Callithrix jacchus: one gene and its partner. The protein of the gene in region 2 interacts with the protein of the main gene of each other region in a pairwise test. Links are inferred from orthologs where the notes say so. Each region holds a gene or a part of one and is shown on either strand. Other genes may lie near its edges.

Region 1 (4,167 bases), on a different chromosome or scaffold from region 2:
CAGCAGCAGACCGGCTTGTGGGAGGCGGTTCTCTGGGACAAGGCAAGGGCTCCTGCCGCTTCTGGCCTTATTTTGTGTATTCCGACACACCTCACAGGGCTTTGTAACTCCCCACCCACTTGAAGGTTTGCAGATAACTTAAAAACAAAAAAACAAAGCGGGGGTAGGGGGTGGGGGATTCCTGCTGTTAAAAACAAACAAAGGACTTAGACACTGCCTAGTTTGATGTGGGAGGCCGCAGCAAGAGAAAGGCCCAGGGTACCGGAGTATTTCCTGAAAGTCACCAAGGGGCCTGCGGGCAGACGCCCCTGAAATCTTTTGGTGGGGTGAAAAGACCGGAGCTCCACAATGTGCCAGTTGGTTTGTTGTTGTTTTGCTTTTTTATTTTTTTTTAAATACATAAACTCCCAAATACTCCTGTCTTGCCTCACTTTTTTGTGAGTTCATTGCTTTGGAAACAAAACTCTCTTGCATTTATTGGGTGTCAAATTTCCGATCTTTCTCTATCAGGAGATCCAGCAACACCCGGTTATGTAAATTTCTTCCAAAGATAAATTTAAAAGCATCCCCATTCATTCCTTTTAAGAATTCAACAGATGTCTTTGAGGCCCATTTTCTGCCGGGTACTCGCTTCACAAGGCTCAAGGGACCCCAGGCTCCAGCCATTGTCAAGGTTGTCACTGAGATCCCAACTCTCCACTTCTGAGGACCCACTTGTCCCCACCTCCCCGCTTCGCACACGTTCCGGAGGCTCTCAGCCGGTGTGATCTCACCGTCGAGAGAATAAAAACAGCCCCCGGGCGCCGGAGCCGGCCAAGGGCCTTGACGGGGATCAGCGAGCGCAAGGCCAAGTGCGCGCCCCAACTTCCTGGGCCCGGGCCTTCCGCGCGCCCCCTCCCGGGCTGGGGTCCTCTCCAGGGTGCACTCCCGCCGGGACAGCGCTTGCTTGCTGCGAGTCCAACCCTCTCCGGCCCGCAACTGCAATCGAGCTGCCCGAGCGTGGGCTCCGACAGCGAACGCCAAGGGCCGCGCTCAGCCCTCCCTCCCGCGGCCCTTCTCGCCGCGCCTTTCCCAAGACTTCCTCCCCGCGCCCGCCCGACTTCAGGTGGGGGCTGCGCGGGATCCCGTGCGCTCCAGCCAGGACCGCTGCCGCCCGGGTCGCCCACGTGGGCGTGCTGGGCGTGGGGAGGTGGCGAAGTGGCCGGCCAGCCGGCCCGCCGGGGGCCAGCCGGGAGCTCTCCCCTGAGCAGGGGGCGGATAGGACGCCCGCGCGAGGAGGCGGCGGGGCGCGGGGGAGGAGGCGGGGAGCCCCGGCGGCGAGGGGGCGGTGACAGCGCTAGGAAAGGAGGCTGCACGCGGATTTGCATGAAACACAGACTGGGAGCGGGCGGGAGCGGGAGCGGGAGCGCGGCGTACGCCCCGGGCCGGCCCAGCCAGCGAGCGAGCGAGCGGCGAGCCGGGAGGAGGAGGGCAGCGGGGCTGCGAGGCAGCAGAGGCGGAGGGATCTGCTCATCAAAGCTAGCGAGGCGAGCGAAGTTTGGCCGGGGGTTGGACTTTCCTTCCCGGAGGCGGCACCCAAACAGCTACCCCGTGCGGAAACCCAAACTTCTGCTGCCACTCGGAGTCTCGCGGCCGCCGCCTCCGCCCCGCGTTCGGGGCCTTCCCGACCCGGCGCCGCTGCCGTCCGCCCACCCGCCTGGCCGCCGTTTTCCCCGCCGTGGGAGCAGCTCCGGGCTCAGAGCGGCGCGCCGAACCCCGCAGGCTGCAGCGCCGCGGCCCGGCCCGGCGCCCCGGCAACTTCGCCGAGAGTTAGGCGAAGTTTGGGCGGCCGAGGCCGGCCCCGGCAGAGCTCCCCTCTGCGCCCCCGGCTTCCCGCCGAGTACAGCCCCGCCGGGGGCGCTCCTCGCCGCCCGCGCGCCCTCCCTAGCCATGTCGTCCATCCTGCCTTTCACTCCCCCGATCGTGAAGCGCCTGCTGGGCTGGAAGAAGGGCGAGCAGAACGGGCAGGAGGAGAAATGGTGCGAGAAGGCGGTCAAGAGCCTGGTCAAGAAGCTCAAGAAGACGGGGCAGCTGGACGAGCTGGAGAAGGCCATCACCACGCAGAACGTCAACACCAAGTGCATCACCATCCCCAGGTGGGGGCCCGCCCGGGGGACCCGGGGGCAAGCAGCGCAGCCCCCTGGCACTGCGGGGCCGACCCAGTGGGGTTGGAGATGGGAAGAGGGAGAGAGACTGTGTGCGTGCGTGTAAGAGTGGGGAGCAAGAGCAGGGGCAGGAAGGGGGTGGGGGGACCCCAAACAAAACCATCTCTGTATTTGCAAAGATCAGAGCCCGAGGCTTCCACGCGGCACTCTCGCTTCCAAACCTCACATTCCCTTTCCACCCCTGGGAGGGGAGAGCGGGTTGCTGCGGGACTCGGCCGCCCCCACCCCGGGGAGCTGGGGCTGGAAGTTGAGGCCCGCTTTGTTCGGCTCCGCGGGCCGGAGCCCCTCCTCCGCCGCCGCCTCCCGCCCCCGCGGCCCGCGCTCGTGGAGGTGGTGGTGTCTCTGCGTTTCTTTTCTTCAGTCCGGTCTCCCCACTTCTTTCCTCTACAGGAATGCGGTCCGTACAGCTGGGGCTGTGGGTGAGGAGCGGGAGCCTCGTGATTGACAGATTCCTTCTTCGTTCTTTCTTTGCCTTCGGGATTAGCGTTTTTATCGAGTATTTTTAGATTCGGTTGTGCCAGTCTCCCGCCCCCTGCGCACGCACGCACTTTGGTTGCAGTGCAAATGCTCTGACTTCCAAATGGGAGAGACAAGTGGCAGAAAATAGGGTCTCCTCCCTCATTTCCCACCCCTCATCCCGACTCTTTTGCCCTCCTTTCAGTCCAAGAGATTTTGAGTCGTGCAGAACGAGGGAGAGGGGCGGGCTGGAGCCGGGCAGATAACAAAACACACCCCGAAGTGGGCCTCGCATCGGCCCTCGCATTCCTGTAGAGCCCTCCTTCCCAAAGCGCTCTGCCATCTGTCTGGATCTCCTTTATCCTTCCCGTCGCGCGCTAGCTAGGTCGGGCGGGAGCCCACAGATGGCTGATAGAAGGGGTCAGTGACTTCACTCCCCCAGGGGCTTCCTTAGCTTAGCTGTGCCTGATTGGGAATTGGGGGTGGAGGTACCTTGGCCTCCTGTCTCTACCTCTCAGTCTTCTTTGATTCCGAACCAGGGGAGAGAGTGTGTGTGTTGGGGGGTGGCTGTTTTGGAGGTCCTAGGCTGCAGAGGAATGATTAGAGAGCACCAGGGACTGTCAGCCATGAAGGGCTGTCATCCCTGTTCCGGAGCCAGGGTGGACTCCATCCTTGGCCACCTGCTTGGGGCAGTTGTACAAGGTCTGCCAGGAGAGTCAGGCAGGCACAAAGCAACATCTGTCTGCAGGAACTCAGGGCAGGCTTCCCCTGGAAATAAATGCCACATATGGTGGGAGTGCGGACTTAAACAAAATTCTTTTTTAACTGGGTGGATCCAGTCAATAAAGGGGGAGGGAAGGCGGTGTGCTGTCTGGGGAAGTCTCTGGGCGTGTGATCAGGAGCCAGAATTGACTTCAGAGGAGGTGGTGTGATGTGATGGTCAGAGAGACCTCGGGGTTTGGTTCCAGCTCGGGTTCTTAATTCTTCTGTATTTCTTCGGTGCGGGTGGAGAGGGTAGAGTGGGTGAGTATCCTACTTCTCTGTCTGGGGAGGGGGCTCCCAAACCTACCTTGTCCGTATCTGCCGTGGTGCATTGAAGACAAGCGCTTTAAGCGTTGAAAAAGAAAAGTGGTATTAATTATACAACAGGCAGCTGTGAAAAGTGTTTCACAGTTTACAAAGCACTTTCACATGGTTTCCGAGGTTCTCAAAAAAAGCAAGCAGGCAACCAGCCAAGCCCTGGAGAGTAGGTTAGGTTGTTAGGCCTAAGATTATCACATTTTTAAAGTTGAGAAAACTTTAGGAGAGAGAGGTGCAAAGGCCTGGGTAGTAGACACGGGCTTCTGACCGCATGTGCTCTTTCTGCTGCCCCACGCTGCTTTCTGCTTTGAAGATCTGAATACATTCTTTGCTGAATGCTAAAGCCCTTTTAGCTTGGGGAGGGCCCTGTGGACCTTTGTCTGTGCCGTTGCTCCTGTATCTGTGGGCTGTTGATGGCTTGGCGGAG
Region 2 (3,933 bases):
TGGGAGGCTGAGGAAGAATAATTGCTTGAACCTAGGAGGCAGAGGTTGCAGTGAGCGGAGATCGCTCCACTGCACTTCAGCCTGGTGACGGAGTGAAACTCTGTCAAAAAAAAAAAAAAAAGTGCCAAAGGACTGCTCTCAGTGGAGAGCAGGCAGTGGTGTGGGCAGGGACATCTAGCCTCCCAGACAGAAGGAAAACAAGTGTGGACGTAGGGATAATCTATGGGGGAGTTGATTGGGGAAAAATTGTAGAAATCCATGCCTGAAGGCTTCTGCTTCTCTGAAGTAGAAAACCGGATCATCTGTTAAGTAATGCGGTTCCACTGACTTCTATTTGCACATTAGCCTTTCTTCTAAAAGCTACACATAACCAACAGCACTTCCTAAACCAGTTGACTTTTCTGTATAATGGAGACAGTAGACGCTACTTTATGGGATTGCTGTATGGGTTAATTGTGCCAACACGTGTACTTGCTCAGGAAGTATTAGCTTTATCACTGGGCTGATGTGAGTGAGGGCAGGGGAATGAAGGTTTTGATTAATAAATAATGGACTGCAAGTCTTCGGGTATGACCATGGATAAATGCAGTTATTTACTCTTGCAATGGGTTCTAAGTCAAACCCTCAGCTAGGTCAGGGAGTAGTTATGAACAGCCTACTTTTGCCCCAGGACCTTAAGAAGTCTTGCTCTGGGATCGGCCGCCTACCGGAAAGTCGTGTTCTCAGTGCCCAGCGCGGTCTTAGAACAGCCTCTTCCCAAATCTCAGCGGCGGCCCCGCCCCTTCCACAGGTTCAGGCCCCGCCCCTCCCTGCTATTGGCTGTCCCTCCCATTTGCTCGACCGCTCTCAGGACCCGGAGGAGCGGAGTTTTCTAAGGCAGCCTCCGAGCGCCCTCGCTGCGCATGCTCGGGGGAGGCCGATTCCGGGTCCGGAGTTGGAGGCTTTGGGCTGTCGCGGCGTCGCGCGCGGTGCCGGGGCCGGCGGGGAGGCGCGCGCTCGGGGCGCGGCGCCGGCGACGCTGCCACGCAGCGCGCTCCCGAGGAAGGGAGGTGTGGGGTCGCCTGGGGGTGGCGCGTGGCCGGGGTGGGGGTGGGGGGAGGGTCGGGTGTCGGCGAGCTCGGCGTGCGGGTTCCGAGTGTCTGAGGCGGCCTGGGCTGCCGGGGCCGACGCCTGGGTGGCTGCCGCCGCCGCGCCTGCTAAGAGATGGCGATCTTGGGCGCGGAAGGGTGAGGGCGCCCGCCGCAGGAGGAGGTGTCCCTGCCGTGGCCGCCCGGCTGCCGGGAGCCGACAGCTTCGCGCCGGGTAAGGACTGCGCGGCGCGGGGCTGGGGGCGCAGGACTGGGGAGGCGGGCGGGGAGGGAGGGGGCGCGGGCCCCGAGCCTTGGCCGCGGTGCCCGGCACCCGGCGCCGTCCGCCTGCGGGCGGGACCCTCCAAGGGGCAGTGAGAGGACGGTCCACCCTGCCTTGTCTGCCTTCTCCGCCTTCTCCAGCTCGGGAGCCGGGAGTTTTCTGGGGTGGGGTCACGGGTCTTGCCCAGAGTTGGCCCTGGCACAGGCCTGTGCCAGTGATCCTGAGCGGAGCTAAATGTTTCCGTGACTCTGCAGCCGCGGTTCTTCCTCAGCCTTCTCTTCGGTTTCCTTCACCTTTTCCTACCTCACTCAGAACACAAATATAGGGACTCATTGCCCGTGCCCTGAGTTTTCACCCCAATTTCAATGTTGCAAACCAAGGACTCCAGCCTTGGAATGCCTTTTTCTGACGTGTTTTTGTCACTCCCGGTTCTTCACCGACTCTGCAGCTCCCCTCCCTGCCCCCCCAGCGCAACCCCCACCTCTACCTTTTGTGACCTGGTAGGTCCCGGTGACCTTGCAGATTTTACCAGTCCTTTTTACCAGTCCTTATCTTGTCTGTGACTTACACACTTACCTTTCATCTTCGTTTTCTTTTATAAAATTTTTCATTTTCTTGTTTGCCCCTTACCTTTACGACCTTTAAATGATCAGTCTTGTTCACAGTCTTCTCTGCTCTGTGGATTTGGAGTTTTCTTTGCTCTGGTAATTATATGAAACCTTCATTACCAAAGAAGAGTAGCATCTGTTATAATTTTGACATTCACTCTTCCAGTAAAATATTTTCCAGGGGCTTTTGCTTTCTTTTTCTATTTGAAAAGTTTAACAGTTTTGGTTTTTTTTTTGTATGTAGGTTAATGTGGAACAAGATTTTGTGTTTCTGCTTTAAAATGTTACTGGTAATAGTAATGGGGAAAAAAATAATATCCACAGTTGTCTTTGTTTTCTCCGTTTGGTGATTTTGCCAGAAATACATGGGTTTACAGTTATCTGCAGGTTTTATTTATTTATTTTTTTACAAGAGTTCATGTGTATGTGTAAATCCTGCCTCACCAAATCTGTGTGTATTATGCAAGCAAAGAAAGTCGTTCTTGTATTGTGTGACTTGTTTTTAGCTATCAAGTTGGAAATTAGCTGCGACTAGAAATGATCATCTTTCATAAATAGTTAATATTTTAAAAATGGAAAGTATAATGGCCAAGTGTTTGGATCTACTCAGATTGAAAATTGTAAAGTATGTGAAATAGTTCTTTGGGACCTAGCTTATTAACATTTTCAGATAGTTCTTACCTTAAAATGCAAAACTGCTGGTAAGACCTATGACATCAGGATTTTCAAAAGCAATAATTACTAGTTATGTTTTTTGGAAGTCGGCCTAATAGAGAATGTCACAGATAAAGTCTCTGCCTTCAAAGAGATAGTAATCTTTGCTGTTTACCCCATGGTGGCTGAAATTTCCTTTACTTCCTTGTACAGATGTTAGGCATTTACTGCATAATTGTGGGGGATATTTTGGGGAATACAAAAATGAACTGATTAGCAGTTTCTGCTTTTACACTAATTAGGTAGATAGTGCTATAAACAAATGCCCTATTTGTCTTTTAATATATACGTTTCGTAAACAGTACCAAAATCCTCTCAGAAGTCAACTTCAAAGAGAGTAGAGCTCAGATCTTACTTGGCAAGGTAGGGATAAGAGGGTTAGTTCGTAGAGCTTCTGGCTTCTGAAATCGTGGTTTTGAAGGATCACTATGACTTTGGATAGGCAGGAAAGGTAATCCAAGCAGAGAGGGATCTCTAAGAGAGCACAGAGTTCCTGTTTGGGGAGAGGCAAGTAATTATGTTTGGGTGGAACATAGTGTTATTTGTATTTGGATAAAGGGTGATAAAACATGAAGTAGAAATTTGGAACAGTTTATGGGTTGTTTTTAATGCCAGGCTTATGAACCTTGGATTTACTAGGTGGTGGGGCTTCCACAGATGATTTTGAATTGGGAGTAAAACAATTTGAACACTTTGTTTCAGAGGGATTAGTGGGATAGCAGCCTGTAGTGTGAGTTGAGGTAGGGAGCGTGTGGAGGTAGAAAGACCTCCCAAGTGTTGTAGTCTGAGGTGTGGTGCACGCGAATGGAAAGGAAGAAAGGAAGTAGAATAGCCAAAATTTGATGAGAGGGCAAATGAAGAAAGTAAAAGTAACAGATTCTGATCCAGGTTGGTTGGGAGAACGTGGTACCATTTTGAGCAAAATCATGAAGCTTTACCCTCAGCATATGTGTGCTACTTTACAACCTTTTGGGGATTACTACTTCTTGGTGAAACTTAAGAAATCTGCTGGCCTGGAAAACTTCCATATGTACCTGTGCTTTGTGGCTACAGTTTTAGGAGAGTCCGTGGACCATCTGAAGGTCATCCATGGCACCCATCTCAGAATTACTTGGAGCTTTTTTTTTTTCCTGAGGTAGAATTTCTTTCACTCCTTCCAGGCTCATTGCAACTCCCACCTTCCAGGCTCAAGAGATTCTCCTGCCTCAGTCTCTCGAGTAGCTGCAAACACAGGCACTTCCCACCACACTTGGCTAATTTT

Evidence for each region. The genes of interacting proteins can lie anywhere in the genome.
Region 1: the proteins of WWP1 (region 2) and SMAD3 interact in binary tests that used the Homo sapiens proteins (3 or more experiments, as listed by UniProt). The two-hybrid records come from large-scale screens. The link is inferred for Callithrix jacchus from reciprocal best matches to the Homo sapiens genes WWP1 and SMAD3.

Annotation. Positions count from the first base shown.
Region 1 is NC_133509.1:14,107,529-14,111,695, forward strand, and holds the start of SMAD3 (mothers against decapentaplegic homolog 3), read left to right. Parts: upstream 1-1,367; 5' UTR 1,368-1,929; coding exon 1,930-2,135; intron 2,136-2,509; exon of another isoform or gene 2,510-2,596; coding exon of another isoform or gene 2,597-2,601; exon of another isoform or gene 2,602-2,623; intron 2,624-3,557; exon of another isoform or gene 3,558-3,683; intron 3,684-4,167. UniProt on the Homo sapiens protein: Receptor-regulated SMAD (R-SMAD) that is an intracellular signal transducer and transcriptional modulator activated by TGF-beta (transforming growth factor) and activin type 1 receptor kinases.
Region 2 is NC_133517.1:40,734,736-40,738,668, reverse strand, and holds the start of WWP1 (NEDD4-like E3 ubiquitin-protein ligase WWP1), read left to right. Parts: upstream 1-1,133; 5' UTR 1,134-1,302; intron 1,303-3,933. UniProt on the Homo sapiens protein: E3 ubiquitin-protein ligase which accepts ubiquitin from an E2 ubiquitin-conjugating enzyme in the form of a thioester and then directly transfers the ubiquitin to targeted substrates.